Linked DNA regions of Diceros bicornis minor. The protein of the gene in region 1 interacts with the protein of each later gene in a biochemical or structural test. Links are inferred from orthologs where the notes say so. Each region holds a gene or a part of one and is shown in the gene's direction. Other genes may lie near its edges. The genes, in order: IRF4 and STAT6.

Evidence for each region.
Region 2: the proteins of IRF4 (region 1) and STAT6 form a complex in vitro, tested with the Homo sapiens proteins (2 studies listed by BioGRID). The link is inferred for Diceros bicornis minor from reciprocal best matches to the Homo sapiens genes IRF4 and STAT6.

What each region holds. Positions count from the first base shown.
Region 1 is NC_080753.1:65,924,859-65,941,012, reverse strand, and holds the start of IRF4 (interferon regulatory factor 4), read left to right. Parts: upstream 1-9,150; 5' UTR 9,151-9,191; intron 9,192-10,554; 5' UTR 10,555-10,615; coding exon 10,616-10,834; intron 10,835-12,214; coding exon 12,215-12,401; intron 12,402-13,226; coding exon 13,227-13,315; intron 13,316-14,019; coding exon 14,020-14,164; intron 14,165-16,154. UniProt on the Homo sapiens protein: Transcriptional activator. Binds to the interferon-stimulated response element (ISRE) of the MHC class I promoter. Binds the immunoglobulin lambda light chain enhancer, together with PU.1.
Region 2 is NC_080756.1:11,779,142-11,795,069, forward strand, and holds the start of STAT6 (signal transducer and activator of transcription 6), read left to right. Parts: upstream 1-9,076; 5' UTR 9,077-9,221; intron 9,222-11,823; 5' UTR 11,824-11,844; coding exon 11,845-11,960; intron 11,961-12,350; coding exon 12,351-12,489; intron 12,490-12,777; coding exon 12,778-12,861; intron 12,862-13,301; coding exon 13,302-13,440; intron 13,441-13,560; coding exon 13,561-13,613; intron 13,614-13,819; coding exon 13,820-13,968; intron 13,969-14,561; coding exon 14,562-14,693; intron 14,694-14,819; coding exon 14,820-15,008; intron 15,009-15,309; coding exon 15,310-15,397; intron 15,398-15,534; coding exon 15,535-15,657; intron 15,658-15,928. UniProt on the Homo sapiens protein: Carries out a dual function: signal transduction and activation of transcription. Involved in IL4/interleukin-4- and IL3/interleukin-3-mediated signaling.

The sequences.
Region 1 (16,154 bases):
CCCTGGTGGGGACCGGCAGAAAGGCCAGGTGAAAAGTCAGAGGCCAGGAGGCTTCAGGCCTCAGTGAGGCGTGTGGCTGAGGGCTGTCCTCACCGCCCAGCTCGTTCTGTTGACATCAGTCACTTATAATAACCTCTCAATCTCATGTGTTCCTCTGTAAAATGGAATCACAATGCCTGCGTCACTTCCCTGCTGGGTTATAGTAAAACGACTGAGGAAGCAATCTTCAAACGTGTCTCAAAGACCCTCTGCAGTCTCGGAAATGAGGCCCCATGTTGCCCACAGCCGCTGGTGGACGAGAGTTGAGTGGGAGGCCGTCATGAATGCTGGTGAGCTCGGAAAGGGCAGAAATTCTCATCCACGGTCAGAGCACATCTGGGGAGCAGGCTGGGCATCCAAAGCAGATGAGGCAGGCCTTGTGCTGTCCTGCGTGTCCCCGCAGAGTACCCGGGCTTGGATGACTTGGTGGGTGTGTGGGCACGGGCCGTGCCACACTGCCTGTGGGGATCCCCAGAGAGCAGCAGAAGGCTCCTGGAAGGCCAGCCCCTGTTCCAGTTCAGAGATGCAAAGCAGGAATTCCACATCAGACTTCTGAAGGTATCCATTTCTACGGCTGCTGGGGGCTTTGCAGGATAGGTGGAGAACACAAATCTAAGGTCCCGTCCAAATCAAACTGCCCCTGACGTGGCGTGGGCAGCCGTCTCACACTCTGAAACAGGACAAATCAGCTGCATCCATAAACGACAGTCTTAGAGCATTAAAAAGAAAATATGTTCAGATTTTTTAAGCTAAACATGTGGAGGGGAGTTGAAAGAGGACTTTTTGAGTGGCCTAATATCTAAGTTAAACTTAGCGACTGTCTTGATAAAATCAGTTAATGCGTGTAAAGCACTTAGAGCGCTGTGTCAGAGGCCGTTCTAACATATGAAGCCCGGAGCACAGGAGGAACCAGCAATCTCCACTGTAAATACCCTCTGCGAATCCTCCCCACACGGTGGAGTGCAGCTCTCCCGCACCCACTCCAGGCACAGCTGCTCACGCAGCGTCCCTCTGGCTCCCACAGCAGGCCTCAGTTCCCCGGCCTGTTTGTCATTGCCCAGGGCTCCCCCACGTGGAGTGCTCCTCCATCCTGCCTGCCAGGAGAGGCCCAGCCCTCCACCAAAGTTCTGTCCTAATGTCACTTTTCCCATTAAACCTTGCAAATTCCCAGCAGCCTTGCCGCATGGGGCTGGGTCCTGCGAGCCACGCGTGTGGTCTTTTTCCACCCTTATCTCACTGAGAGGTGTAGTAACCTCCAATGTGGCCATCCCCTCCAACAGACTGGGGGGAACTGGCCTAAGGCTTCACAATTAAAAGGAACAAGTTGGCGGGGGTCGGCCCCGTGGCATAGTAGTTAAGTTCGCATGCTCCACTTCTGCAGCCAAGGGTTTGCTGGTTTGCATCCCAGGCGTGGACCTACACCACTCATCAGCCACACTGTGGCAGCATCCCACATACAAAATAGAGGAAGATGGGCACAGATGTTAACTCTGGGCTAATCCTCCTCAGCAAAAAAGAAAAAAGGAACAAGTTGGTGAATTGAACAGATGAGCACACTGAGGCCCAGAGGCCACATGCACCACCCTCAGTCCCCATGGGCCACGCTGGGAGGCATGCCAGGTCATCTTGAGGAAAAAAGGATTTATTCCCTCGGTGGCTGGAAGCGCTGCAGGAAGGCTTGAGTCTCCAGGTTGCCCTGAGCTCTCTGAGCTGGCAGAAGTTGCTCTCCCTCCTATCCAGGGCCAGCACTCCCTTCATTTGGAAACGATGGAGAGGCTTATCTTCTGCAAGACAACATGTGCCCTCCCTCAGACTCTCCCCATCACTCCCGGCTGGCCACCAGGCCAATAACCAGGGTCAAGGACTGGATAGCCTGGCTGGGGATGTGCAGGGCATGCTAAGGGAGAAAGGGATGGTGCCCCAAAGGAACCACAGCACCAACTACAGGTATGGCAGGACTCAGGAGGGCACTCGTGGGACTGGGTTCTGAGAGTGTTGGGCAAAGTGGGAGGAGGTTCAGATAAGAGAGACAGGATGGGACACCCAGTAAGGCCACAGGAGATGCTGGAAACACACAGGTAGGATGGTGCCTAGAAGTATGAGAAAGCAATGGCCTAAGTAAGGTGGATCTGCTACAGCCAGGGTGGGTGTGGGAGAAGGATGGAAGGATGTAGTACCCACCCTGAATGAGAACCCTCCATCTCGTCCCTGTCCTCAGTGGGACACTCAAGGCAGGAAGCCGAGGGGTGGAACTAGGAGCAGCCCCACTATTGTCACTCCCAGTGGCCATTTGGGGAATGTGTGCTTCTCATCTCCAAAGCTGGGCTCTGTGAGGTTAGAGGGCCTGGTTCTAAAGGCGACACTCTCCTCCAGGAGACAGAGGAGTACCACTGAGCTCTAAGCTAGGGCAGCCACCTGAGAGGCTCCTGGGGCCAGGGCCAGCAGGTGAGAAGTCACCATCTTGACCCTGCTTGTCAGAGATGGGGGCTGCTGTCATACAATAGGGCTGTACTCAAGTGACCCATTTGGGCTCCTCTTATGCTCCCTTGTGCATTTTTTTTTCTGGGAAAGATTCACCCTAAGTTAACATCTGTTGCCAATCTTCCTCTATTTTGTATGTGGGTCCCTGCCACAGCATGGCTGCTGATGAGTGGTGTAGGTCTGCGTCCGGGAACTGAACCCAGGCCACCAAAGTGGAGCACACCGAACTTAACCACTAGGCCACAGGGCCGGCCCCCCATTGTGCAGTTTTGATGGCGAATAGTAAGTGGGGGTGCAGCACCCCTGGACCACTAACAACATGGTGACCAGGGGTTAAAGCCCTTAGAAATGAAGGTTTAGGGCTCTCCATCAAGCCAGCCACTCGCCCAACAGAGCTGCTTGGTAAAAGTGAAGCGATCTGGAAAGGATAGAGGAGGAAGCACAATAGATAAATTTCAGCTGGGACCCCAAAACCAGCTACAGTGGCAGGCTGTAATTTGTCCCACTAACCTTCCTCTTCTAAGTTTCCTCCAGGACAAGGTTGCGAGATACAATACAGGATGTCTAGTTAAATTTGAGTTTCAGGTAAACAATGAATAGTTTCCTTAGTATATCTGAAGTATCACATGGAACATACACTAAAAAAAATTACTCATTGTTTATCTGAAATTCAAATTTAACTGGGAGTTCTATATTTTTATTTGCTAAACCTGACAACCCTACTCCAGGAAGAGAAACCACTAGAAGCCTGGAGGAGCTGCTCCCAGGACATATAAAATGAAGTGGATCAAAGCAGAGCCAGAAGCAGCCTCAGGGAGATGCCGCCAGGTGCTGCTCAGATCCCCACTCGAGAGCAGAGATTCACTTCCCCTGCTCTCGGGCTGTTCCTGGAAGATGGTTCTCAGCAGGCAGCCCTCTCAGGAGGTTGTTCCAGGTAAAGAAAACCACCTTGCCCACTTCATGCCTCCTTCCAGGGGCAGCCTGCACTGTGACTCATTAGCCCACAGACTAAAGGCCTCTCGCTTCACGCCAACTCCGACAGAGCAGGCTCCTCCTCCTCCAGAGCTCTGCAGTGTGGACCGGGGCTTTCTGGTAGGGTGCTGCATCTCAGCTCTCTTCCTCCAATCCTGCTTCCTCCCTGTGACTCCATGGTTATTCGGCCAACAGCGCCCCCTAATAAATGTCCCACCACTAACCTTCATGTCAGGGTCTGCTGCGGCCCCCAGTTACAGGCTCGGGGAGGCCTGGGGTCACATTGTATTTTTGTCACCAAAAGCATGCCCTTAGAGGAAAGACATATTCATTTTTAGAGCTCATTGCTAGGAGCCGCTCAGCACTTTTAGATGCCATGGTTCAAAGATGATCAAGAGACAATTCTGTTTCCAAACGCTAAAGGAGCAGAGGGACCGTGCCCAAAGGAGCCACAGCACCCACCTAGATCAAGACCCATCCCACTGGATGTTGGGATGTCATCTCAAACACCCCCTATCTAGTCCCCATAAACCTGTTCCTCCTCCAGACTTCTCTATTTAAGTTCTTGGTCACACCATCGCCCAGTCTCCCAGCCTGGAAACTCCCCAGTAATCTTCACCTCCTGCCTCCTCACCCCACATCCACCCAGCCCTTGTGACCCTTCCTTGCCTCCTCTGATCGCCTCTCTGTCCGCCCCGTCCCAGCTCCTTGCCTCTTGCCTGAGTCTTCTCTGGGCTCCAGGCCTTTCTTCCCCCCACCTTCCCCACGCTACTGCCAGGCTGCTCTTCCTTCAGTGCAGTTCTCACCTCACAAAAGGGGGATATGAGTCATGGTGATGCGAAGCTTAAAGAACCAGCCCAGAGTTCTCCCTGTATCCTTTCTCTACACGCTGTGACCAGGAATGTTCTAGATAGATGCTGCTTGGTCGGCCTGGATTCTCAGAGTGTGATGACAAGCAATAAATAGCTCATGTAAACAAGAAGCAGCCCTGTGTGGCTGTCAGCCCCTGAGACACGGGGGCTTGTTCTGGAGCATCGTCTACCCTTCCCTGAAAATGCACTCCACCACCCAAGGTATCCTCGGGTCTCAGAAGTAATACTTCATCTGTGACAAGTGATGGTGTGTCGTCTCACAATGTCCAGCTGAAATGACAGCTGATGAACATTAGAACACCCCAACATTCTGAACTGCACAAATGGGTGGATTCAGATAAAGCCATTTGCTTTTCACCTACTGCTTCAATTTTCAGAAAATTGCCCAAAGTTATTGCAAACCATTTGCATTTTTGTTGGCTTGGTGAAGGGAGTTGGCAGTATCAAGTGGTCCCTTGTTAAAAGCCACGTCACTACGTATGTAGAGAACATAATAAGCCAGAAAGAGAATGTTCCTCGGAGACTTCTTAGAATACTGGCAAGAAGAGGAGATAAACAGAACAGTTGTTTATAAACAAAGGGAAAAGAGACAACATTGCCTTAGTGTCTTTGACTTCGTGACTTTTTATTACACAATTGATTAAAATGACAAGTCTAGTTTCCCATAGCCTGAAAGTGGATTCTACTCTGTGCCTGGGGAAAAGCCATGTGTATTAGCTCTGTGGCCTAAAAGAGTTTAACTAGTCCTGAACAGCCTGTGTTCTCGGAATGCTTAACGCTACAGATCTGCAAAGTTCTTTCATGGAAGAAACTCAGAGCACTTGGTGAATTAAATTAGGAAAGTACATACAGCTCTGCATGAAAAAATTCAGCTTTATGTGCCATATTGGTATTGTCAAAAATCTATCACTTTACAAAGAAACTTCAACTCAACTTCTTCAAACTGGGTGTGCAGTGAGAGCATTTACTCATAATAAACGATACTCATTTCCAGAGTATTCCATCCCAAAACCTCCCCTGTATTAGTAGCATAGAAGGTTAGATTTTTTCAGAGGATTAAACTGGCTGAGAATCAGCACTGTTTCCTCCAATTTCCTCAAAGTGAATATTGCTTTGAGAAGAAGAGCAAAGAGAAGATCAGTGGTTAGGTCAGTGGCTTTAAAAAAATGCCGCTTTTCTTACTCTGAATTTACCATAACCAACAAGGCCACTGGCTGCCAATAATAGTTTAAGTTAGAGCAGAAAGAAGAAAACAATGATTTAGGGTTGGAAGAAGGTTCAGTGGTTGCCTACTGCCAACCTCCACTTCACAGACAGGAGAACGAGGTCAGAAGACTGCACCTTACCCACACTGACTTACCCACTGAGTGCCAGACTGGAGTCAGGACGCCACCTCCAGACCCACAGGCCTGCACTCGCAGGCTGATCCTGAAATATCAGTGCAGCAGGCAGCCAAATACCCGTAGAAAGGAAAAAGAACAGTTCGTCAGAAGGTGTCCTTGGCAAGCCATCCGGACCTCAGTGAATCTCTGAATCTCTTTCCTTATCTGTACAATGGGGCTGAATATCACCTGCCCTGCCTCCAGGCAGATGGGGTTGGGAGATCAAATGAGATATAGTCTTCCTAAATGTTGAAGCAAAACATAAATGATAATAGTCCCGATGTGTTGAACACTTGGAACATGTGAGGCATTGTGCTAAGCATCATTTCGTTATCACAGCATACGAGGAGGCAAGAAAGCCATTGCCTTCATTGTACCTGGGAAGGTAAGACTTTGGTTAAATAGTTCACCCAAGACCTCACGGATTTCAACCAGGTCTAGCTGACTGTCGTATTTGAGCATTTAATTACCAATAATACCATCCAATAATACTACTAAATACAATACTATAAGATACTACTAATATGTAGTATATATCACTGTACTAGTACTATACCATACAATGTACTATAGTACTTATTATATATATAATATATATAATATAATATATATAGTACTAATATTATATAGTACTATAGTACATTGTATAGTATAGTACATACTATAGTATATTACTATATTACTCTAGTATAGTATATTGTATATTACTCTATTACGTAGATATATTACTATTTATAAAATAATATAATAATACAATAATAGTATAATAGTACTGCCATACAAGATACCATGGTCAATGATAATAATTAGCATTGCACACACATATAGCCAAAGAGCATTAGAGGAGATAGTTATCCCATATGAACTACATCATAACATTTTTAGTATTTTCCTGATTTTTTACAGGTAGTTAAAAATGATTGCCCTTTAACCTTTTTCACGGATATAGTTGCATTGTTTTTAACAAATTGTAGTACTCTCCCCTTTCAAAGAATGAATTAGTGAGAAAATACTTTTATCCAAAACAGGGTTTCAGTAATTTATTTTTTGTGCCTAGTATGGGTTTTTCTAAAATATTTTCTTACATGTGAATGTAAAATTTTAAAAGACTGATTTTTAAAATATTGAATTTAGGTAAATTCAGCTTTTCTTATAGTCTCTTTACAATAAATGTGAATTGGAAATTGCAGCACTCTGTTCAGATTGGGCTCCACCTACAATGGCATTTCCACATCTGGACCATTCACTGAAATAACCTCCTTGCAGAATATCATGATCAGCCTTTGTCTTAGGTAGATATTCAATTTACTGATTTCCTATTTGTTTGCACTTTTTAACAAGTTGTGACATTTGAAGATAACTATCTATCTTTTACTGAGGAACACTTTGATTTCTCAAGTGTGTGGGGGGAAGGTCAACTTTAAAAACTTTTGTCCTTTTTCTTTCGACTGTGACTAAGATGTCTTTGGTGAGCAACTGGCAGCCCCTACCTGCTCACTCCCTCCCCTTCCCCAGGAGTGATGAGGACATCAAGAGTTTTAGTGATTAAAATATATTATTCTTTGTATTCACCTCATCATAAAAAAAAAAAATCACTTCCAGTAGATCAATATGACAATGAATAAACCAGAAGATGGCGTTGAAGATTAGCAATCACATTTTAAAACAAGGTAGATGTTGTAAAGTCTCAGAAAGTTTCATACAGCCGGTGTTGTTTTGAACTTCTAAAAGGAGATGACTGAGGAAAATGTTGAAACTAACTAAAGCTGGTGCAGAGAACACGTGTGCGAAAGTGCTAAAAGCTCTCATTTGCCATTTTTGTTTTTAGCAATCTCCTTCTGTCTGTTGTTTGTGAACACCTTGGGGAAAAGTAATTCACTGATTAAAATGTAATGCAACATGGAGGCATGATCTCTGCTTCCTTCACTGAGTATCCCAGTGCCTACAACCATTCCAGACAAGCAGCAGGTGCGCAAAAAATGTTTGTGGAATGAATGAATCTGTGAAAGGAGAAGAAAAACAGGGTGTAACCAGAATTTTCTTTGAACAAAACCCTGTTGTTTATTACACAGACTCTGATAATGGAAAACTTACTTGGGTGAATAAAAATATGGCATCCTGTGAATTTCTGAGAAAGTCCGTTAGTTGTAGGAAAAGCATTTCTAGTCTGTGCCTCACTCACGGCCTGTTTTGCTCCAGCCTAACCCTATTTTTTTCTTTGGGTAGGAGACATTGACCCAATATATAAGATTAAAAGAAAAACTGAGAAATAAGTGAAATCAAAAGCTTTTCAAAAGTTGCAAGTTGACCTGCGGTGGCGATGGTCTAAAATCATATAGAAACCGCTGATCTGACGGTTTACCTGCAATCGCTAAGTACGTAAACATGCTCGGAGCATCCAAGACGCTCCGGCGAAAGCGCAGTGGTCAGGGAGCTAGTTTGGATAATAAGGGCATCCTAGAAAATTAAGTAAAATTGCAGGTCCGTTTGGATGTTACTCCTGTTGCGGACATTTATACCCCAGATTGCTTCCTACCAGGTTGAGGTTAAAACCATGTCAGTTAAAGTGAACTGAAGTGCAGAAGCAATTAAGCGCTGGGATACTTCGGGATCCCTCCCCCAACTCTTTCATGTTGCCATAATTGAAACTTTGGGGGTCATGCATTGTCTATCTGAGTCACCTCAATTCACCAGTTTAATAGATGCAAGAGCGTGTAAGCATTTCGAACATGTGGACAGTATTTGAACCACAGTTTATGGCTCAAGGGATCTGGGCCATTTCCTTTTTTCTTTTTAATGAGCACGATGTTCTCTAAAGACCGTGGAGGAGCAGGGTTCTCGGTGACAGCGAGGGTCACCCCTCGCTGGGTGTGACCCACCCACCCACAGTTCCTCGATGTGGACAATTCCTCCGTCTTTGGTTACGTGCTCCACAAGCGAAGTCCCCTTCGCACCGGATTCCCGCTCCTACACGCCCCCCACTTCCCGCCCTAACCGTGTCGCTGTCTTTAGCTGTTACTAGTTGTCGACGGGCCTCCCGCAGGTCCTGGCGCGGAGGCGAGGTCCCCATTTCGCGCCTTGTCCTTCGCAGGAAACCGCCCAGAGTGAGGGTCCCCGAGGCCGCGCGAGCCCCACTCGAGGTGCGTTCGCTCTGCGCGGCGCGAGGCGGGTCGCCGAGGGCGCCGGAGCCCCCAGCCTGCGGCGGCAACCCCCCCGGACCCCGTTCCTCTGGCCCGGGCCCTGGGAGTCGCCCGCCGAGCCCTCGTTCTCCTCTCGCGGCGCACCGCCCCCCAGCCCCGCGGGCGCAACCGGCCCCGCCCGCCGCAGGCTCCGCCCCCAGCGCGGCTTTTAAGCTCTATAAAGTTCCTCTTTCCCACCTCTGAATCTTAGTTTCACCGCTTGAACTTAGGACCCACCGCTGCCCTCAGCTCCGAGTCGGGGCGAGGTAAGGTCTGGGGTCGGGCAGCAGCATAGATGTGAGGGTGGCACGACAGAGAACCGGGGGCGCGAGACCAGAGGTCCCGGGGTCCATCTCCAGGGCAGCGCAGGGGACCCCAGCTTCGGAGCCGGGAGGGAGCACGCCCCTTGAGGGATCCCCGACTCCCCCTATCTGCTCTGGGTCCGGGGCCTTTGTGCGGGCTCGGTGGAGGGTCGCCCAGGTCGCTGCCCGAGCACTCCCGCCGTCTCTCCCTGCTCCCGCGGCCCCACCACTCTGCAGTCGGCCCAGCCCGGGCCGGGGGAGGCCACGCGCGGGACGGGATAACGAGACTGTCAGAGCCCCAGGAGTGGCCGAAGCGGGGCAGTCGAAGGGACCCACACGGGGTGGCGGGCTTTCCCGCGGGGGACAGTCCCTTACTCCCGAGGCTCCAATCCGAGGCTCCTTCTCTTGCTCCTCGTTCTTAAGGGGCCCAAACTCACCGCGGCCTCCGGCGCGTTGCCCCCCGAGTAGTGGTGGAGGAGGAGAAGGAGCTCCAAATATGGGCTCCTCGGGGCGCTGCGCCCTGCGGTCCCTCGCTCTCCCCGGCACCCTCCCTGCCTCCGCTCTTCCTCGCGGGCCTCTGGGTCCGGCTGACGCTCGGCGTCCCGGAATCTCCCGCTACTTGGCAGCGCTCCTCACCAAAGACCAGGTGTCTATCGCTTGTTGCTTCCAAGGCCCACTTAATCCTTGCTATCTGGCGAGGGCTCAGGGATATTCTTGGAACAAAGAGTGCGGGTGCGGGAGGTTCTAGAAGGCCGGAGGAGGAGTTGCTGAGTGCCGCGCACCTGGAACGCCCCGACCGCAGGCGAACCCGCGTGCGAGATCCTTGGCGCACGGGGGCCATCAGGGGAGTGTGAATTGGGGAGTGGGCGAGAGTGGAAACTGACAGTGAAGGGGGAAATGGACTGGCGTCGGCTTGGGACTGGGCTAAGAGGAGCGGGAACTACGAGTGAGCGTGCAAACGGAGTGCCAAGAGTGGTGGCGGCTGGATTTGGGAGCGTGCGCAAAGGCGAGAGTTGTGTGTCCGGGCAGCACTTGGGCTGTGGGGTGCGTAACAAGAATGGAAAGTTCAGAAGGTGGGGTAGAAGGATGGACTCCACGGAGGGCGCGCTCGGGAGGCGTCAGGACTGTGCGCGCCAAGGGCACGAGCCCGGGCCAAGTGAGAAGGTGCTTTCTCCTAAGGGCCTTTGGCAACACCGACTTCTTAGCGCGCGCGCCTCGCTGCCTCGGAGACTCCGGCACCTCGTGGTCATTACCAGAGGGGGTTGGGACAGGGTGCCCCGAGCGCTGTGCCGCAGTGGCTGAAAGGCGGCCCTCCTCTCCCCTGCAGCTCAGAGCGAGTGCCGGAGGCGGATCCTGAGCGCGTGAGGGCGACAGTCGGCGCGCTGGGCATGAACCTGGAGGGCGGCGGCGGCCGAGGCGGAGAGTTCGGCATGAGCTCCGTGAGCTGCGGCAACGGGAAACTCCGCCAGTGGCTGATCGACCAGATCGACAGCGGCAAGTACCCAGGGCTGGTGTGGGAGAACGAGGAGAAGAGCATCTTCCGCATCCCCTGGAAGCACGCGGGCAAACAGGACTACAACCGTGAGGAGGACGCCGCCCTCTTCAAGGTTACAAGCCCGCGGGGAGCCCACGGTCGGGATGGGAGAGGGCCCCGGAGAGCCCGGACGGTCCCTAACCCCCACCCCGCGGCGAGGCCGGCCCGCGCCGGCGCGCCCGGCGGTTCTCAGAGGGAAGGGGACCACACGGGGTGCGCGGGACGGTGTGTGCCCCTTAGGGCGAGGGGCCCGCGAGCATCAGGTGGCGATCGGCCCAAGCCACGGGAGAAGGAGAGAGGTGTCAACTACTCTAGTGATTTCACAAATGGGGGGACCGGGTCCCAATCCTGAGTGTGTGATGTGAGCAGTACCCAGGGAGTCGGGCGGCTCCAGCGGCAGGGAAATGCCTGGAGGCTAACCCCGGGTAGCGGCGTCCAAGGACGCTGGCTTGGGTGTTATAGTGCATTACTGTTCTCATCGGAGCCTTTTTCTGTCCCTCTGGATCCCTCCTTGCCTCTTTGATCAGTGTGTGTGTCTGTCTCTTTCTGGGAGCACCCGGAGTGTGCTCGAGTCTGTGTCTGTTTTTCTGTCTCTCTCATTAGTCTGTATTTGTTTCTGTTTTTTCTCTCCTGTTCTCTCTCTCTGGATATTTTTCCTTTGGTTGTCTCTATCTCTGGCACGTGCTCTCTCCTTCTAGCTGAGTCCTTCCATCTGCTTCTCCTCTTTCTGTCTCCCTCTGTCTGACTCCCTCTTTCCAAGTCTTTCTGGAAAATTTTCTCTGAGTTTCTCTCTCTCTCTCTCTTTCCTTCTGGGTCTTTCCATCTTACTGTGTGTTTCTCTCTTTCTTTCTGTCACTCTCTCTCTTCCCCTCTCTCCTCCCCACCCCCTTTGGATTTCTCTCTCTTTCTCTTCTTACTCGCTGTCCTCTCTCTGGACCTTTCTCTCCTGCCCTCGGTGTGTGTGTCCCTCTCATGACGGTTCTCCCTAGAGCAGTGCACCCACTGAACTGTGCATCAGGGCCCAGCCCCACCACCTGTGGGCAGAGCAGGGACGGGGACTTCCTCAGGGACTTTGCCCTCACGAGACCTCAGATGGTCTGACTGTCCACATGTGCTCTACAAGTAGCAGCTCAGCCACAGCTCTGTCCCTAGTTCCAATCAAACTTGCTTCAGACACTGGGTGGGTAGCCTTTCCAGCGGTCCTCCACATCTCACCTGTCTTTTACAAATACCGAGGGAATGTTCAAACCACTTGCCTTCAGCTCAGCGATGATAGGGTCCAGGGTGGAAAGTATTTTACCTGGAGGACACCTGGGGTCTCTTTGTCTCACATTTTGAGCAACAGTGTAAATCTGAAGCACCTAAGCACCATTCTTTCCTTTAGAAATGCAATTCCTAGATTCTTTTTTAAAAGATCTGTATTTTAACTATTTTGCCTCTTCTTTCCCACCAGGCTTGGGCGCTGTTTAAAGGAAAGTTCCGAGAAGGCATTGATAAGCCGGATCCCCCGACCTGGAAGACACGTTTACGATGTGCTTTGAACAAGAGCAATGACTTTGAGGAACTGGTTGAGAGGAGCCAGTTGGACATCTCAGACCCCTATAAAGTATACAGGATTGTTCCCGAGGGAGCCAAAAAAGGTGGGCCTTCTTGGATTTGGGTCCCAGAATATGGGCAGCCTGACACTTGTAAGGCCTTGATTTCATTCCGAAGGCCACTTTTCCTGTTTTGGTCTTACAGGCTGCCTGCCTCCTGGCCCAGGGCCAAGCCCGGCAGGCCGTAGCCCAAGTTCTCTGGGCCGCAACTGACATTCTTGTGGCATTAGTGCGGGGTGGTTTGTCGGGCTTCAAGTCTCTAACTGGGTGCGCCTGCGTGTGCACGTCTGTGTGTTTCCACACAGTTCTATCAAGATGTGGGCCAAATTTCCAAACAAAAGACGGAAAGCTTGTTCGAAGCTTTACTTACCTATCAGTCTTTCATGATTAACCATTTTGTAGAAGAGAAGCGTCGATACATCCATATATTGTTGCTATTTATAGTAATAAAATGTCAACTTTTAGAGTGTACTGTGATCAGCTGGGGTGCTTATTAAAGTTCAGATTCCCGCTTTCCAAGATTCTGACCAGTGTGTCAGAGTGGAGCCCAGGAATCTGCATTTTAAACAAACCATCCAGGTGACCTCACTTTGGGAACATCTTGCTGGTGGGGCCCTTTATGTCGCAAGGTGTATCCACCACAGCATTGCATTGATTTCTCTACCAGTCCTATGTAAGTCAGACCTTGTAGAAATCAGTTTAACGGCCAGAACAAATAATTGCCCAGGGTAATTGCTGAAAAATGCCTCGTCAACACTGTGTTATGCCTTGTGAGAATTAAACCCTCAGGTGTTTTTCTAAGATCTGAGCTTTGGTTATGTTAGGTCCTTTTTTCACACTGTGCCATTTCCCTTTCACCCAAATACACAGGAGCAAAGCAGCTCACACTGGAGGACCCCCAGATGACTATGAGCCACCCCTACACCATGACGGCTCCTTACCCCTCACTCCCAGCTCAGGTAGGCGGAGGGCTCAGACACGGCTTCCAGAAGGCAGGCTGGATCTCTGTGAGGCCACGTGAGCTGGCTAGGCCCACACAGCAGGAGAAATGCGCAGAGGCCACAGAGCTTTGTTGTTGCTACTAGTCCGACAACCAAAGCAAAGCCCTGGTCATTGAATGGATGCCTCACTTTCCCCTGGAGTTGCAATCAGTGTTGGTTCTGAGGGGGGCACGGGGGCCTGCCTGTCGGTATCAACTTCTATGACTGGTTCTGAAATCTGCTGGAAAACAGACCTTTTGTGGAAGGTGAAGATTTTGGAAGTAGTGGTTTTATCATGTGAAACCACAGGGCAGCTGACCCCTCACACTCTCCTGAGGGTGCCAGCGCTCTGGTCTGTTCCCTTTGGTGAGTGGAGAAGGCACATGCCCTGCAGTGCTTTGCGCTGGCTCCAACCACATGATGCAGCTCGGTGTGATCACAGCCTTACAACACTGCTTCACTGTGCGCCTTGACTCCCTGTGGCTCATCTCCACCTAGTGTGATGAGGGATTCACTCCAAAGTCTTTCCTGGTGATAAAATGATTTGGCTGCCAGCCAAATAAGAGATTCCCTGAGGAGTTGGGGAGGATATAAAAGAATCTGTGCCCCTTTCCCAGTGCCAACAGCTGTTCTTTGCTGAGCTGGTTGCTTTGCATCTCAGCTCCTCCCTCGTGTTCCTTTAGCAGGTTCATAACTACATGATGCCCCCCCACGACCGAAGCTGGAGGGAGTACGTCCCTGATCAGCCACACCCGGAAATCCCGTATCAATGTCCTGTGACGTTTGGACCCCGAAGCCACCACTGGCAAGGCCCAGCTTGTGAAAATGGTAAGGAGTGCACTGGGGCTGGCTCCCATGGCTGCCACTGACCCAGCAGAGCAAAGCAAAGGGCCCTGGTCTCTCCTGAGCTGTCCTTCTGGGCAGTACACGGCTCTTTCTCCTTCTCAGAGCTGCTAGGAAAGACCTCCTGTGCAGTGAGGGAGAGTGTTCTCTCTCATGCAGGATGGTAAGGTCCTCAGAGGAAGGACGCCAAGGTTTACTGACGATGGCTGGCTTATTGTGTGCTGGGACCTGTGTTTGAAACTGCCTTATGTGGGATCTTATTCAGACATTGCGGAGATCATTCCAGGCAGCTAAAAACTGCCGCAGTTTTTTAGAGGCAAGCTCATAGAATGTAAGTAATGTGCCCACAGTTACCCAGTGAGAGTGCGGAGCTGGGGTTCAATGTCAGATCTCCTGACCCCAAAGCCCAGCCTTCCGCTTAAGACAGGGGAAGTCAGATGTCAAAGTGGTTGGCTATATTTTTTAAATTATCTGTTTAATAGGTTAACATTTTTCATCCTCCTTCAATAATCTTAAGCTTTATTTTTACTCTTGGGCAAAAAGTAGTAAATTTTGGCAGTCTGCCCTCCTGGATTGTCGCTTCAGTGTTGACTGAGGGCCATATAATCACCGGTCTCTTTCTGTGTACACATCTGTAAAATGGGGGTGTGCTACAGCTGTGCCCACAGCCTCCCTCTATAGGGACACCAGGAGATTACTGGGCTCTGTGCCTATGTAGTTGTTCTTAGGATTAAAGGTGATAGTAAGAAGGGAGGGAACAAACATGAGGATAAAAACATCGAAAGTCTCCACAGGGTGCCTGGTGCTGGGGGTGGGTCTCTAAGAGCTGCCCCCTCCGGAGTAGAGGTGGCCCCGTGCCCCGGGAGGCCCCGGACGCAAGGTGAGAGCTCCCAGCAGAAGCGCTAGTTAGCTAAGAGCAGAAAATATTTCACAGGATGTAGTCAATACAGCAAAACACAAGCTTTTAGGACTTCTGAGTTAGTTATTTAAATAGAAATTCTGCGATAGGTCAAAGCACAGGTCCTTTTGTATGTTCTAGGAATATTGACTCCTTCACAATGTGGCCTATCCCCCTTTTTCTAGTCATGTTCAGTCCACTCTTGGCTTATGGTATTGAAGAAGTATACCATTACTTAAGATTTGTATTGCGTGGCATGTTTACAAAGAAACCTCAGAATTCGGTTTTATTAGCTTTCAAGAGTGATTTGCAACAGAAGTTGGTTTTCCAAATCACAGTGGAGGAATTAGCTAACACTAAACTGGTGTTCAGACCTGTGTCCAGTGCATCAGGCTCTATTGAACTAATAACCTTAGTAAAGAGACAATGCTTAGAACTGTGCAAAAGGATGGAATAGGTAGACATATTTTGAGGGGTAGGTGACATTAAATGAAGTGCCAACAAAATTAGATTCTGTTATTATTTCTTTTTTAATGTTTAGTGCACCACACAGCTGCTGTGCTGCCAAGAGAACTGGTTCAGTTTTCTCTTGAACCCAGAAGTAGCAAGCTAAATCAACGTGTACTAAACAATTTGTAAGATTTTAATTGGGCTCTTTGGCACCAGAACTCACTTAGACTTGAACTCACAGCTCTCCTGTGCACTTGCTGTGTGAGCAAGGGTAAACTGCTTCATCTGTCTGAGCCTCAGTCACCCTGTTTACCAGCTGTGGGGGATGCTGGTCAAAGGGTACAAACTTCCGACTATAAGATGGTCAATTCTGGGGATCTAATGTACAGCATGGTGACTGTTGTCAGCAGTACTCCTACTGGACTAAAAGTTGCTAAAAAAGTAGATCTCCACACACACACATACACACACACAACAGTAATTATGTGAGGTGATGGAAGTGTTAACCAACCTTAAAAAAAAAAAAAAGAATGAATAAATGAAAGAAAATTACAGCGGGGCAGCTCCAGAGTGTCCTTCCAAAGCTGTGGAAAGACTCCTTCCTCCTTCCATTTGGTTTTTCCAATT
Region 2 (15,928 bases), on another chromosome or scaffold:
GATCAACACAGAGCAGGGCAGATGATGCCAGGCTACATGTTGAAAGAAAGGAAGGAGATGACAAGCAATGACATAGGCATTTACATATGACAAAGGCATAGAGGCATGAGGAGTTTAAAACATCCGAGGAATGGCAAATATGGTGTGGCTGAAGTTTAAGGTACTTATTGGGGAGGGTAATGGATAAGTATCAGAGAGCCTAATCACAAGGGGTGATTTGAGCCACACTAAGGACTCAGAACTTTTTTCTAGAAGTAGTGGGGAGCCAGGTGAGAAATTGATGAAGTCTTTAAGGCATCAGCCATAGAGCTGGAGAAGAAGAGGATTCCAGACTAAGAAGGTAGGCTCAAGTACACTAATTGGTTTATCATGTCGGCCTAGAGGACAGTGACAGAGAAAGCTGGGTCTAGAACCTTTGGCTCAAATTAGAATATTCTCAAATTTTGGCTGCACATTAGAATCACCTGGGGAGCTTTTAAAATCCCAATGCTAAAAACAAACAAAAAAACACACCAATGCTGGAGGACTTATACTACTTGACTTCAGGACTTGTACGCTACAATAAGCAAGATGGTGTGGTACTGGTATAAAGACAACAGAAGAGAGTGCCAGAAATAGACTCACATTTAAAGGTCATTTGAGGGGCCAGCCTGGTGGCATAACAGTTAAGTGAGCGCACTCCACTGCAGCGGCCTGGGGTTCAGATCCCAGGTGCGCACCAACACACCGCTTGTCAAGCCATGCTGTGGCGGCGTCCCATATAAAGTGGAGTAAGATGCGGCACGGATGTTAGCCCAGGGCCAGTCTTCCTCAGCAAAAAGAGGAGGATTGGTGACAGATGTTAGCTCAGGGCTGATCTGCCTCACACACACATGCAAAAAATAATAAAATAAAAGCAAAACTGTTAAAAAAAAAATAAAGGTCATTTGATTTTGACAAAGGTGTCAAAGTAATCCATGGGGGAAAGGAATGTCTTTTCAACAAAGGGTGCTGGAACAACTGAATATCCATATAAGAGAAATAAGTGTACCCTGACCCCTACCTCACACCATATGCAAAAATTAATTCAAGATGGATCATAGATCTAAACCATAAAAGGGGAAATCATAAAGCTTTTAGATGAAAACAAAGCATATCTTCATGACTTGGAGGTAGGCAAAAATTTCTTGTCATGGAAAGCAATAACCATAAAAGAAAAGCACTGATAAAAGAAACATCAAAATTAAAAAGCTTCGCTCCTCAAAAGACATCATTAAGAAAATGAATAAGTAAACCAAACAGGTAAGCAAAACATTGATCTGACAAAGGACTGTTATCCAGGGTATATAAAAAATTTCCTATAACACAGTAATAAAAAGACATCCCAATTTTTTAAAAAGTGTACACAAGACTTTTTTTTTTTTTTTGGTGAGGAAGATTCACTCTGAGCTAACATCTGTTGCCAATCCTCCTCTTTTTTTGCTTGAGAAGATTAGCCCTGAGGTAACATCTGTGCCAATCTTCCTCTATTTTGTATGTAGGTCGCCGTCACAACATGGCTTGACGGGTGGTGTAGGTCCATGCCCGAGATCCAAACCCATGAACCTGGGCCACTGAAGCGGAGCGCGCCAGACTTAACTACTACACCATGGGGCTGGCCCCATGATTTGAATTGAGACTTCACAAAAGAACCTATATTAATGGCCAATAAACACATGAAAAGTGCTCAATATCTTTAGTCATCAAGAAAATGCAAGTTAAAACCACAATGAGATAATTCTCCCCACTCACCAAAATGAAAACTTTAAAAATCTGACAATACCAAATGTTAGTGAGAATATAGAGCAACTGGAACTCTCACACAGTGTTGGTGGGAATGTAAAATGTTCTATCAATTTGGAATAGTATGTAGCAGTTTCTTATAAAGCTAAGCATGTACCTAACCTATGACCCAGCAATTATACTCCCAGTTATTTATTAAAGAGAAGAGAAAACACGCTCACACAAAGATGTCAGCAAAAATGTTCATAGCAGTTTTCTTCATAATAGCCAAAAACTGGCTACAGCCCAGGTGTTTATCATCAAAAAAAGGATGAACAAACTGTTATATCTCTACAATGGGCTAATAGTTAGTAATAAAAATGGATAAACTATGGATACACTCAACCACACAGATGAATCTCAGACATGGTGAGTAAAAGAAGCCAGACATAAAAGCACATCCTGTTTTACTCCATTTATATGAATTCTAGAACAGACAAAACTAATCTATGGTGAAAAAAAATCAGAGCAGTGGCTCCCCCTCGGGGATGGAGTGAGGACAATGATCTACATCTTGATAGGGGTTTGGATGTCATACCGCCACCAAGTGGTGAGGCAGGGATTTGAACCCCGGTGGCCTGGCCCCAGAGGCCACAGTTTTAACCACCACATTACATTGCTTTGCCTCTAGAATGCTGCAGCCTTGGGTGCCATGAGATCACACAGGAAGAGTAGCCCATGAAGACAGGAGACTGAGGAGCACCCAGAGAGGTAGGAGGAAGAGCAGGAGAAAGGGACCATGAACATCAACGGAGGGAGGGCTTACTCAAGAGCCATTAACAGTGCTGAATCCTGCAGAGAGGTCCAGGGAGAGAAGGACAGGGGTGGACCATCATTCTGGGCACCTAGGAGGGTACGTGTGACATGGCCAGAACAGTTTCATGGGACTGATGGGGGCAGCAGCTAGCTGGCGGTGTACTGAGGAGGTGAGGAAGGGAAGACAGTAAATGTGAATAACTTTCCCAAGAAGTTTGGCTGCACAGGGGACAAGAGAGAGAGGCAAGACAGTAATTATAGTGCCAGTTAGAGGGCTGGAATTTCCTTGCAGAGGCTCAATCCTGACCACAGCTGGCTCCATCCAGAGATGCTTGACTTTACCCACCCACCAGGGCTACTACTTGTCCTTCTGTGAGGTGAAGGTCTGTTGGCCACAGAGCCTCTGACAGCCCCAGGGCTTCATTTGGAAGCTGGAGATCAGCTGACTTTGCCATTGCTCACATCCTGTCATCCTTGGCAGACCTCAGTGGGCGTCCACCCTTCTCCACTCAGCCCAGTGCTTCCTCTTCCTGACCACTCTTGCGCTTCTCCCTACCTCCTCCTTGCAGGAAGCCTTGGACCACCCTTGGCTCAGATTGTCCTTGCCCCTCTTTGCTTGCCCGAAACCTGGCTCTTTCCTGAGGACACTTCCTTTAAAGAGATATCACTTATTCTCCCAAGTGCACAAGACGGGTGGTGGTGGGAGCGTGGGCAGTCAGCCCACTCCAGGCTCTCCATTTCCTGTAGTCAGTATGGCTCCACCAAGGTCTCAGTTAGGGATGCATCTAGCCACAAGTAACAGAAGACCCAACTAAATTAGACTGAACAATGAGGAGTTCTACAGCAGATCCAGGGCTCGTGCTTTAGCAAGAATTTTCTACCTCTTCACACTGCTACTCTATCCTCAGTGGTCGATGGTATCTCCTCTCACAGTTGCAACTGGTTGCAGCTGTTCTAGTCCTCACATGTGGACTCGTCATTGAAGAAGAACAAAATTGTACCCAATGGCCCCCTAAAGTCCTGTTGGCCAGGACTGAGTCACTGGCCAGGGGAACAGACAGACCATGATTGGCTAGACCAATTAGATTCATCCCCTGAACGTACGGGAGGGGAATCCCTGTACAAAATCCAGACTTTGCCAGCAAGGGAGAAAGGCTTGCTGCTGAGTAGGCACCAGCAGTGCTTGCCCCGAGAGTCATATTAATTCCTCTTCGTTTTCAGGGCCCGATACTTCACCGTCCATTGAGAAGATGTGTAGCTTACTGCTTACAGCCTCAGTGCCTGCGTCAGACTAACTGAGTTCAAATCCCAGCTCTGTCACTTGCCAGCTCTTTGGCCTTGGGCCGGTTACTTAACCTTTCCACATCACAGTTTCCTCATCTGTAAAATGAGGGCTATCAGTGCTCTCAACAGAACTTTCTGTGATGATGGAAAGGTCCCACGTCTGTGCTAACATAGTAGCCATTAGCCATGTGTGGCTATTGAGCATTTGAAATGTGGCTAGTGCATCTGAGGAACTGAATTTTTTAATTAAAATTAAACAGCCACATATGGTTAGTCACTACCATGTTGGGCACATAGTTCTTTCTCATAGTATCATTGTAGGATAAAATGTACAGTGCTTAGATTTTTTAAAGTAGGAATTGAAGTAACGCATAAACCCTCACTAAATGTTAGTTATCATTCATCCACTGATGTCTTGGTCACTTGCCCACACTCCTTGAAGACTCTGGCATCCGAGTCACTGTCTTCCTGTTCACCGCAGGTCTTCTGCAAACCCAGATGGCCTCAGTGTTCATGCCGGTAGTCCAGCAGCACCCTGGCCTCCTGTTTCCTTGCCCTCCTCAACTCCAGTGACTTACGCCATGTCGCCATAGCCACAACCTGTCCCACACCCTCCCAGGAGGGCCAGACTGAAGTCTCACCCCCTGTCTCTGACCACAACATTCCAACCCTCCAGCTCTTTCTTTCCCTTGCTCCCAGGAAGGTCAGTCTTTAAGTCTGTTGAGACTTCCAGTTCCTTCGCTCTGTTCTATCCTTACCCACTGGCTCCTCCTGTCTTTACTTCTCTTCCTAACCAGCCTTGGATTCCGCCCACAATGCTTCACTTCTACTTCTCCGACAAGCAGTCTCCTCCTCTGTTATGATCAACTTTCTGAACTGTTCTCCTAGCTTCAGACTTACACTTTAAATCCGTCCTCCACACTGCAGCAAGGGTGGTCTCTCTACTAAACCTCATCACATTACTCACCTGCCTGGATCCTCTAATGCTCCCCATCGCCAAGTACTATCCATATCCAGAAGGTACCATGCTCCTGAAGTATCCATGCTTTTGTCCATGCTAGATCTTCTTCCTCGTTTAACTCTCCTCTTGTTCTTTGCCTGAATAACTCCTATTTTTCCTTCAGGATTCGGTTAAGGCATCACCTCCTCCAGGAACCCCTCCCTGATCTCCCCTACCCCCTACCTAGTTTAGATGGCCCATTCTATGTGCTCCCATGGCACCTTGTCCTTCACTGGAATCACAGCCCCAATTATCCGGCAGTATCGTTGTTTGTTAACTAATCTGCCTCCCCCTCTCAGCTGTAAGAGCCAGAGAACAGACACCCAACAAGTTTTTGTTGAATTAAGTGGACATAGATTCTGGGAGGATTGGTTTTGCTTGCTTGCTGTCAGTTTGATTTTACTTTTTTAAAGGTGGGAGGGATTTGAACATGTGTACAGGCTGAGAGGAAAGAGCTGTACTAACTAAGGAAGGAGAGGCTGGAGACTTGGAGAATCGAAGGGACATTTAATGGAACAGAGCCTGAGGAGGCAAGAGGGAGGGGCCCTGAGCACAAGTGGAGGGACGTATTGGGGGCAGAGGCAGAGGCAGAGACACCCTCTCCTCTGAGCCTGCAGGGAGAGTGCGGGTGCCAATGAATGTGTCTGTCAGTAGGGAGCAGGAAACTGGGGGAGTTTCCAACTGATGGCCTCTGTTTCCTCTAATCTAAGTGGTGAGTTGGCATCAAAGCGGATGCGAATTTGGGGAGAATAGAAAAGGCCTGGCAGACAGGGCTGGGTAGGGGTCCACACTTCTTCTGTGACCTTTTCCTTCTATCCCTCAATCCTCCACAAATCCCAGGCCACTGTCCAGTGCTCTGAACAAGGCACCCACTCATCTTATCTGTGAAATGTACTGAGCTCCTGCCATCAATCCATCACTAAGGTCAGTCTTTCCATCAGAGAGTGTATGTAAAACATTTAGCCCAGTGCCATATACATAGTAAGCACTCAGTAAACAGTGGTCCTTGTCACTAGCAAGAGCAGACATTGTCTTTATTAGCTGCACAGCAGTGTGTACAGGGGGATAGGAATCCCCACCCTCTGCAAGCTTATGTTCTTGTCAGAGAAGAAGGATACACCCATAAAATCGTTAAAAAGCAACACAAAGTGATATGTGATGGTCACCAACATCCAAATGGTGCTTTGTTTTTTTGATCACAACCTGCACTAAAAGTGTCTTTTACATCAAGACCTAGAACTCAAATACATACATAAAACTGACACAAGTTTCCTTAGACACTACTTATCCTAACTTTAGGTGATACGTTCTGATATTTGCTGTTCTATTCTACTCTACTTTGTTTAAAAAAAGGGATGGTCAAGGCTCACTGTTATGGGTTGAACTGTGTCTCTCAAAAATTCATATATTTGTATGTTGAATTCATATGTCCCTTGAAAATTCATATTCATATGAGGTGTCCCCAGTCCCTCAGAATGTGACCTTATTTGGAGATAGGGTCTTTATAGAGGTAATCAAGTTAAAATGAAGTCATTAGGGTGGGCCCTAATCCAATATGACTGATGTCCTTATAAAAAGAGGAAATTTGGAGACAGACTGGCATACAGGGAGAACACCATGGGAACATTAGACAGCCATCTACAAGCCAAGGAGAGAGGCCTGGAACAGATTCTCTCACAGCCCTCAGAAGGGACCAACCCTGCTAACACCTGGACTTCTAGCCTTTACTGTGACTAATAAATTTCTGTTGTTTAAGCCACCCAGCTTGTGGTACTTTGTTACGGCAGCCCTAGCAAACTAACACACCCATCAAATTGATTTGTGACTCATTATTGGGTTGCAACCTGCAGTTCACAGATCACAAAGTTCTTTTTTCCTAGTCTTTCTCTCATGCAATCTTTCAGCCACTTGGGGGGATGGCAGGGCCCAGAGGAGGGGAGGCAGGCAAGGCGCTCACTCTCAGGGTGTGTAAGGGGGTGGCATTACTGAAAGTCTAGCCAACCCTGCAATTGCATGACCTGAGATGAGTGCCTCCTTAAATTCCGCACCCTAGACACCTCACCCCAGCTTAGGCCGTGTGAAGTGGATGTAACTGTTGTCTCTGTTTGAGGAGCTGACACACAATCACAGAGCTCTTAAGTGGAGTCAGACCCAAGCCAGATTTGCCTCTAAATTCTGGGTTCTTTCCATGCTATCACAGTGTCCCCATTGGTGCAATCAGTTAGAGAGAATGACAATAAATATTATTTTCCCACCAGTACTGGCTCCTCACCTTCCCATCCCCAAAAGGAGTCAGTTAGAGACTGCGTTCCCTCCTCCCCTCCTCTTGGCAAAGTTCTAGGGAACTTGGACCTCCTGAGCCCCTTAGATGGCAAAGCCTGAATTCAGGCACTGTCTGTGGACGTCTGCAGGCAGCGTGGGCACATGGGAGCACATACAAAGTGTGTGTGCTGTGAGCGCCTACGTGCACACACTGCGACCCTGGCACTGCTGAGATCAGATTCCCCGCCCGCCATCTCCACCCCTACTCTCCCTCCTCTTCCATCCACTGCCTTCCAGACACAATAAACACAGAAACACACATTCCTCCAATAGGCTCTGTCTTTGTGGCGCTAATATTACCCCCAAATCCAGGACCCCTGTGTAGGATGGAGGCCCTTCTGCCATCCTCGTGCTTGGTTTATTCTGGGCTATAAAAATAGTGCCTGCTGTTTCCTATGTGAAGGCACTGTCCTCAGCCTTCACACGTATTATCACATGTCACTCCTACAACCTTATGAGTTAAGACTATTATTTGTTCCATTTTTCAGACGACAAAACTGAATCACAAATTGTAGATTGCCCAGAGTTGTACAGTTAGCGGCGCTGGCAGGATTCAAACCCAAGCAGCCTGTCTCCAGAGTCCAGATTCTTAACTGCTACCCTCTGCTGCCGGCCAGGCCCACACACATGCCCTCCGGCACACACAGGCCCATCCCTACGGGATGGGAGTGGGAGGAGCTGGGTTCTGGGATTCAATTCAGGCACCAGGGGGCAGCATAGGCCTAGCTTTGGCCCCTGAGCCTAGCCCTATTTGGGGAGAACAGAGGGGAGTAGAAACGTCCTTCCACCTCCCACCGCCCCCCAGAAACCACCCTTTCCATGCACCACGTCTCCCAGATTTGGGGATGTGAAGGCCTCTCTGGGTCCCTTGGCCTCCAGCTCCTCCAGCAAAAGCTGCAGAAACCACCCACTAGTAACGATGATGACTCAGAAGCTGGGCAAGCTCTGTGTATGTGAGTGTGTGTCTCTGAGTGCTGACATGTCTGTGAGCCTGCTCGCATGTGTGTGTAAGCATGTGTGTGTGTGTGTGTGTGTGTGTAGCTTGTGACTGGAGAAGTTGTGCATGTGTGTGTGTGTTTCTGGGTGTGTCTCAGTGGTTACCACAGAAACAGACAGGAACTTCGCCAAGGGTGCACAGCAGATTCATATTCAAATTTGTCCCTTGGTAATCTGCAGGCAGCAACTCCGGCTCGTGTCAACTCCCACCAGGGTCTAAGGAGTAGTACCCTGTGTGGAGGGGCAGAGATGGTTTTCAGTCTGCAGGACTCCTTCTGGAGTCTTCCAGAATTCTGAGCTTCGGGGTCCCCTCCCCCACTCCCTCCCATCAGTGGTCACGGGACCTCTAAGGCGTTCACCACCAAGAAGGGAGGAGGACCTAGGAGTTCCTGCGGCGATGAGCTCCCCGGCTGCTTTTCAGGGTCTTCCACTGGAGGGAGCGCAGAGCCCAGAGGGATTTGCTTTGCCAGAGGCCCCGGGGAGTCCAGTCCCTCGTGAGCCCAAACCCTGGGCCACTTCGAAAGTTTGAGTACAGGACAGGCAGTTTGGGGCGGCATGTCTCTGCTTGATATTAGGTGGCTTTCTGGAGAAAAGTTGATCACTTTTGAGGGGGACAGAGTAAGTGGGGATCAGCCTCCCACTCCAGCTTGGCCCCAGGGCCCCAAGCCCCAGTCCTGGCTCCCCCCACCCTGTACACCCTCACCAGGCACAGAAGGCACACATGCTCGCCCTACTTTCTTCCTCTTCCTCCTCCAGCCCACTTTCTCTTCTCTGTGTCGTCAGAGCTCCAGGGAGGGACCTGGGTAGACGGAGAAGCCGGAAACAGCGGGCTGGGGCAGCCACTGCTTACACTGAAGAGGAAGGACGGGAGAGGACTCTGTGTGTGTGTGTGTGTGTGTGTGTGTGTGTGTGTGTGTGTGTGTGTGTGTGTTTCTTTTCGGTGGTGGTGGTGGAGGGGGGGTGCTGGCAGGGCCAGCCCCGAACTCGCTGGACAGAGCTACAGACTCATGGGGCCTGGCAGTGCCCGCTGAGAGAGGGAGAAGACAGCAGAGGGGTTGCCAAGGTGAGGGGATGCCTCCGAGGAGGGCAGGGTGGGGACCCTCTGACTATGAGGGTGTGCGGGGATGGGTTGGCGGGGGGCCTCTCAGGATCCTCCCTGGGCGAGGTGTATGGTCCCCAAGAAATTGTTTCAGGAGCTGGTGGTACTGGGTCTTGGCAGTTTCGAACTCTCAGAGGAATCTGGGGTGGGTACAGGCCCCGCACTCCCACCCCCCATGGGTCACTTTTTCCACACCCCCGCCCGCGCACCTCCGGGGACATGTGAAGACAGGGAAAGGAGGGCAAGGAGGTGCCCCTCTGCCCTCTGGGTGGGGGGAAGTGGCTGCCCCTCCCTAGAAGGTTGATGCCAGAAGGCAGTGGGTCATAGACAAACCCCTAGCCTGTCCCCCCACAAAGGTTCCTGTTCAAGGGTGTGGCTGGGGGGTGAGCGAGCCCCAGATGTAGACCTCATGGTGCCCCAGAGGAGGGGGAATTTCCCCCTCAAAACTGCTCCACGCTTGGCTGCTGTAGACGCCGAGATTTCCCGGCGGCGCCGAGTTAACCCTCCTCGTGCTGAACTGGCTCCGCCTCCCCCGCCCCCTCCCCGCTCCCACCGTCACCGACACACATTGGGCAACTCAGAGAAGCTTTTGACTTTTGATCCTTTGGTCCCATGGCCAGAGGACTCGGGAACGTTGGGGTTGAGGTGATCGGGTTTAGGCCACGAAGCCGGCCGAAGAGGATCCCGGACGTGGGGCTTCCCTGCGCGATTGGGACGGGAAGGCGGGCCCCGCCCCTCCCACCGCGGCTCCTCCCTCTCTGCGGGTCTTGGAGAGGGGCTTAAAGCAGAAGGTGCCCCTGTCCTGGCAGGCCAACCCCCTCAGCCTTGTCATTGGGTGAGGGTGGGGAAAAGTGTGGCCTCCTGACATCTGGATATTGGGGACGGAGTAGGGAAGGGGAGTTGAAGCCAGGGCCATGCCGGGAGGCTGGTCACTCAACAAGGGGATAGAGAGGAAAGGGGGGCTGCCTGCGGTTTAGGGATCACCTCAGTCCCCAGTAGGATAGGGCCAGAGGGTCAAAGGTCTGAGCGCCAGGAGAAGCGGGAGAGGAAGACAGAAAAGACAACGGAGTCCTCCGGTGAATCTGCAACACAGAGCAAAAGGTGCCCCACCCCGAGGAGTGGAGAAAGGCCTGTTGGAGGACCCTGAGCAGGAAGGGGAGGATTCTGCCACTGGGAGAAAAGTGCTGGAGGGGATAGGGACTGGGGGGGAGGGGCAAGAGGGTCTTGGAGCTGGAGTCCCTGAGAAGGGGCCCCTCTGTTCTCCATCCCTTTGGGAGTCCTGGGGAAGGGGAGAGGCTAAAAGTGCAACAGGAGGACTTGGGGTTTCTGGGTTGGGGGAGACCCAGGGAGTTTCCATCCCCATCCTCCCCCTCATCTTTGGGAAGGGACATTATGAGAAACATGAACTGAGAGACCCCTGGGAAACCACTGGTTTACCCACCTCACCTGGCAGCCCACCCAGTAAAACCCTCTCCCCTCCTTCTCCCGTCTCCTCCTTTCCTCCCTCCCTTTCTTCTCCTCTGCCCTTGGCCTTCTAGCTCTCTAGCTTCCTCTCCCCGCTTCTAGGCTCTTCACTCCAGGCTTATTAACCCCACTTTTCCTCCAATATCTCTCACCTTCTTCCTAAGCTCTTTCTACATTCCCCTTTGCTCCACCTCCCCTTCTTCAGTTCTGCTGCCACACCCCCTCCTCTTAGGATGACAGGATTTGCATCTGGAAAGCATCCTAATGGCACAGTGTGGTGGTTAATTCTCACTCAGATCCATATCCTGATTTCGGAACTCACTTGCTGAGTGGCCTTGGCACGTTAGAAAATCTCCTTGAGACTCGGTGTCTTCATCTATGAAAGAGGATAACTACCTATTTTAAAAATTATTGTGAGGTTTGGGGATAACACCCTTAGTGTAATGCCTCATACATAGTAAGTGCTTAATAAATGGCAGCTATTATTACTCTACTATCCTCTTCTTCATCGTCTAGCCGTGTAGTCTTCAAATTATCTCATGGAGCCCTGGAATTTTGAGGGGTTTCTCAGGGACACCTTTGAGGTCAAGAGGTGGGGAGAGGGGAGCAGTAGCGTTCCTGGCCTACCACACTTGCTTTCAACAGAGAAAGTCCAATCTTAAATAATTGGGGTTCCACACATTAAAACTAAAATTGGCTACTGCTTTAAAAAGTTTGGAAAGTTCTGCACTTATCCAAGCCTCATATTTTATAGATGAGAAGATCGGGTCCACAGAGGGGAGGCTCCTTGCCCACAGAACCAGAGCCAGCCCTAGAGCTGCAGCCCACATCCTCTGCATTCTCTCAGAGAGCTTTCCCTACTGCCCCGTCTCCATCGTCTCCCACCCCGCTGGCTGCGGCTCAGCTCTTCCCACCCCATCACCCCTGTGTCTACCCTTGAAGGGATTACCTTGTCTCAGGCGTTGACCAAGGATGTCCCTGGTTTGAGGTGGTCTGGCTGTGAGTGGTGGTGAGGGTGGTCTCTGGGAGGTCCCTGGCTGCCCCACAACATGGGCCAGCTTTCTTTGGCACCTCTCAGAGTGGCCTTGTTCCTTTCCTCCAGGCACCCTCCTAACCCCAGATCATGTCTCTGTGGGGTCTGGTCCTCAAGATGCCCCCAGAAAAGCTGCAGCGGCTCTATGTCGACTTTCCCCAACACCTGCGGCATCTTCTGGGTGACTGGCTGGAGAACCAGCCCTGGTGAGTCCCAGCTGCCCCATGCTCATCCCCCAGGTCCTCCCCCACCCACCTTCCCCCGCATCAGATTTTCTCCGCCCCATTTCGGGACTTGGGACTCACGGATGGTGGCCTAGATTTAGCGGGAGTCTGTGCTGCATCAACCAGACTATGCCTATTGACACATGGAGTCCCTCACCCCCTTAGGAGGCAGAGCCAAAGAGCACAAAGTCAGGGCTGGGGCAAGGGCACTTCCCCTAACAGTGGAAAATTAGGGCACAAGGAGCACGGATGAGGGCTGCAGAGGATGGAGAATGGGGGTGGAGGGCTGCTGAGCTGTTTGCTGTGGGGTGAAGGGTCAGTGGAGCTGAGGAAGCCCTGACTCGAGGCTGCCTCATCCTGATCTTCCTGCAGGGAGTTCCTGGTTGGCTCAGATGCCTTCTGCTGCAACATGGCCAGCGCCCTACTTTCCACCACTGTCCAGCGCCTTCAGACCTCAGCCGGAGAGCAGGGGGAGGGAAGCGCCATCTTGCAACACATCAGCACCCTGGAGGTGGGGGCAGGAGGGAAGGGACAAGGCTGGGGTGGGGCCAGAGTGGAGCTGTGGTGAGCATTGGATGCTGGAAGAAATTGGTTGGCTGCTGGAAGCAAATTGGTGTTCCTGTGGTTAGCTGTTAGCTAGCATGCAAATTAGATTTTAAAAGCATGCAAATACATGAGAGCTTCTGGAGTCTACAGTTACGCTGCCTTTCAGTGTGTATGTGAATGGAGGGGATTGAAGTGGGAGAATGACATGGCTAAGAGCCTGGCTAACCCTGTCCACCACCCTTCATTTCTATAGAGCATATATCAGAGGGACCCCCTGAAGCTGGTGGCCTCTTTCAAACAAATACTGCAAGGAGAGAAAAATGCTGTTAGGGAACAGGTACTGTGTGATACCCACCTCCCACCCCAACCCAATTCTGGTACTTTAGCTTGAGCCATGAGAATTCCCTCTAAACGGAATTTGAACTTGAAGAAAGGCTCAATGTTCTAGGCCCAGGATGACTAAAGGAGGTTCCTGGGGTCAGAGTAAACCCCAAGCTAAGCTCAGGAAAACTTCAAATGAGGGACCGAGGGTAGCGAGGTCTGGGGAGGAGAGAACAAGAGATAAAGAGTTGATTCTGCCAGAAGAGAGGTCTTATCCCCAGGAGATTCCAAAAGCTCAGGAAGAACTATCAAAGGGGAGAGGAGAGCCAGACAAGGGAAGTGGTCTATCTCCTTTTCTGCAGAGCATGGCTGTAGGCACCACTTTAGGGAGTGGAGGCCGGGTGTAGAGGGATGGGCAGAGTGTCTCACCTCTTGGCATCTGTCTATCCTGTGCAGTTCGGCCATCTGCCAGCACCCTTCCACTGGAAGCAGGAGGAACTCAAGTTTAACACAGTCCTGCAGAGGCTGCAGCACCGACTGGGGGAAGCCCGCCTACTCCGAGAAGCCGTGCAGCAGGAGGCTGAGGCTGGCCAAGGTGTGGGCCTGGGCCCAGAGCCCTAAGAGGATTCTGGGGAGTGTGTGGGAGGGATCGCCTCTTGGACCTCAACATTGACTGAACCTCACATTTATCTGCATCCCTGATTTCTGCCCCTAGTGTCTCTGCACAGCTTGATAGAAACTCCTGCCAATGGGACTGGGCCAAGTGAGGTGAGTAATGACCTGAGAGGTGGAGATGAGCTCAAAGTGCGAGCTTCAAGGGATTTCCGATCTGTAAGGGATGGAGACTGAGCCTCAGAGAGACACAGACTGATGTGGGGTCAGGGAATGCGGAGACATGAGAAAGAGAGTGCTCCCCTCAGGAGCCGGGGAAGGAGGCAGTGTGTGGCCCTAGCTCAGGCCCTCCCTGCCCACAGGCTCTGGCCACGGTGCTGCAGGAGACTGTCGGGGAGCTGGAGGCTGCCAAGGCCCTGGTGCTGAAGAGGATTCAGATGTGGAAGCGGCAGCAGCAGCTGGCAGGGAATGGTGCCCCCTTTGAGGAGAGCCTGGCCCCACTACAGGAGAGGTTGGGGCAGGGCTGACGGGGACGGAGAGTGGGCTGGAGGTGGGCACTTGCTATCCCTGCTGGAGGCCCCCCAGACATGAGAGAAAAAGCCAGGCAAGAAGGCCTTGGAGGGGGCCAAGACTCAGAGGAGCCCGTTCCCGCAGAGCTGTGCCAACTGTGGCTCAGGTTGCCACCTGTATAAGTGCGCCTGGCTGAGGGGGCACCAGCAGGCGTTCATCCAACCCATGCTTTTCTCTTCAAGCCCCATGCCCAGAGGAGTGGGAGGCCTTTTTCCATTTGGTCTCCTGGGCGGGGCCCCTTTCAATTTGCGCAAAAAGCACCATACGGGCTGGCAGCAGACCTGGGTATCAGAGCCCTGAGGAAGAGGCCTCTGGGTTTCCACAGGGGGTGCAGGCATTGAGAAGGAACCTCCCACCCAGAGCCAAGGCAAGTCCCAGAACCCCTTCAGCTCAGGCACGGTGCAGCCACACCCACTGCCCCTGCCACCCCTCCACACACACTCTCCTGCTCTCTTCCTGGGTTTAGGGGAAGGGGGTCTGGGCCGCCGCAGGCAGCCTGAATCCTGTGCCCCCTGACCACTGTCCTGGCCCCAGGTGTGAGAGCCTGGTGGACATTTATTCCCAGCTGCAGCAGGAGGTGGGGGCAGCTAGTGGGGAGCTTGAGCCCAAGACCCGGGCAGCGCTGATTAGCCGGCTAGATGAAGTCCTGCGAACCCTCGTCACCAGGTACGCCGGGGAGCCCTCAGCCTGGCCTAGGGCAGACCCCAAGGAAGGAAGAGGGCAGAGTTGTGGGGAGGGCACCAGGAGGGACTCAGCTGCCAACTCCCCTTGTGTCCTCCTCACTCCTCCCAGCTCTTTCCTGGTGGAGAAGCAGCCCCCGCAGGTTCTGAAGACTCAGACCAAGTTCCAGGCTGGGGTTCGATTCCTGCTAGGCCTACGGTTCCTGGGGGCCCCGGCCAAGCCTCCGCTGGTCAGGGCTGACATGGTGACCGAGAAGCAGGCGAGGGAGCTGAGCATGCCCCAGGGGCCTGGGGCTGGCGCGTAAGCTGGGGCTGGAGAAGGCCTGTTGGGGTGGTGGAGGCCAGAGGAGCCGGGCCCCACAAAGAGCAGGTGATGGGGAGGGAGGGCCATGGGATGTGAGACCTGAATGGTCAAGGCAGCCCATTCCGCGCTGGAATGGGGTGGGAGCATCACAATTTGGCCAAGATGGGGACTTCTCCCTTAAGAACTTAAGCGAGGAGATGGAGATTTGGGGCCCGTAGTCCACGCCATTCACCCGTGGACTCCAGCTCTTCCAGACACCTGGCCTGCATGGGCTGAGCCTCTCTGACTCCCCTGGCAGAGAAAGCAGTGGGGAAATCATCAACAACACCGTGCCCCTGGAGAACAGCATTCCTGGGAACTGCTGCTCTGCCCTTTTCAAGAACCTGGTGAGGCTTCAGGGAGCAGCGGGCAGGGAGGGGGGCAGGGGTCCTCAGACTATGGGACTTTCCTTGGTGAGGGAGTTGGGAGCCCAGGAGAAGCGGTCTCTGCCCTCACCCCTCCTCTCCCTCACCCCACCTCACAGCTTCTGAAGAAAATCAAGCGGTGTGAGCGGAAGGGCACTGAATCTGTCACCGAGGAGAAGTGTGCGGTGCTCTTCTCCACTAGCTTCACGCTCGGCCCCAACAAACTCCCCATCCAGCTCCAGGTGAACCGAGGCCACAGCCCTGCCCAATCTGGGGCCCCACGTCCCCCTCCATGCCACACACTGGGGCCCTGGATCCTCACTCCTCATGACTGTCCCATACCCTGGGTGTCTGGGATTTATGCCCACTGGGGCCAAGGTGAGATGGAAGGAGCAAGAACATGGAGTGCACATGCCAGGTAATAACAGTGTAGTAGCAACTAAGCACTTATTACACACTTTTTGTAGACCAGGGCACTGTTTTAAGTGACACACATACACACACACGCACACA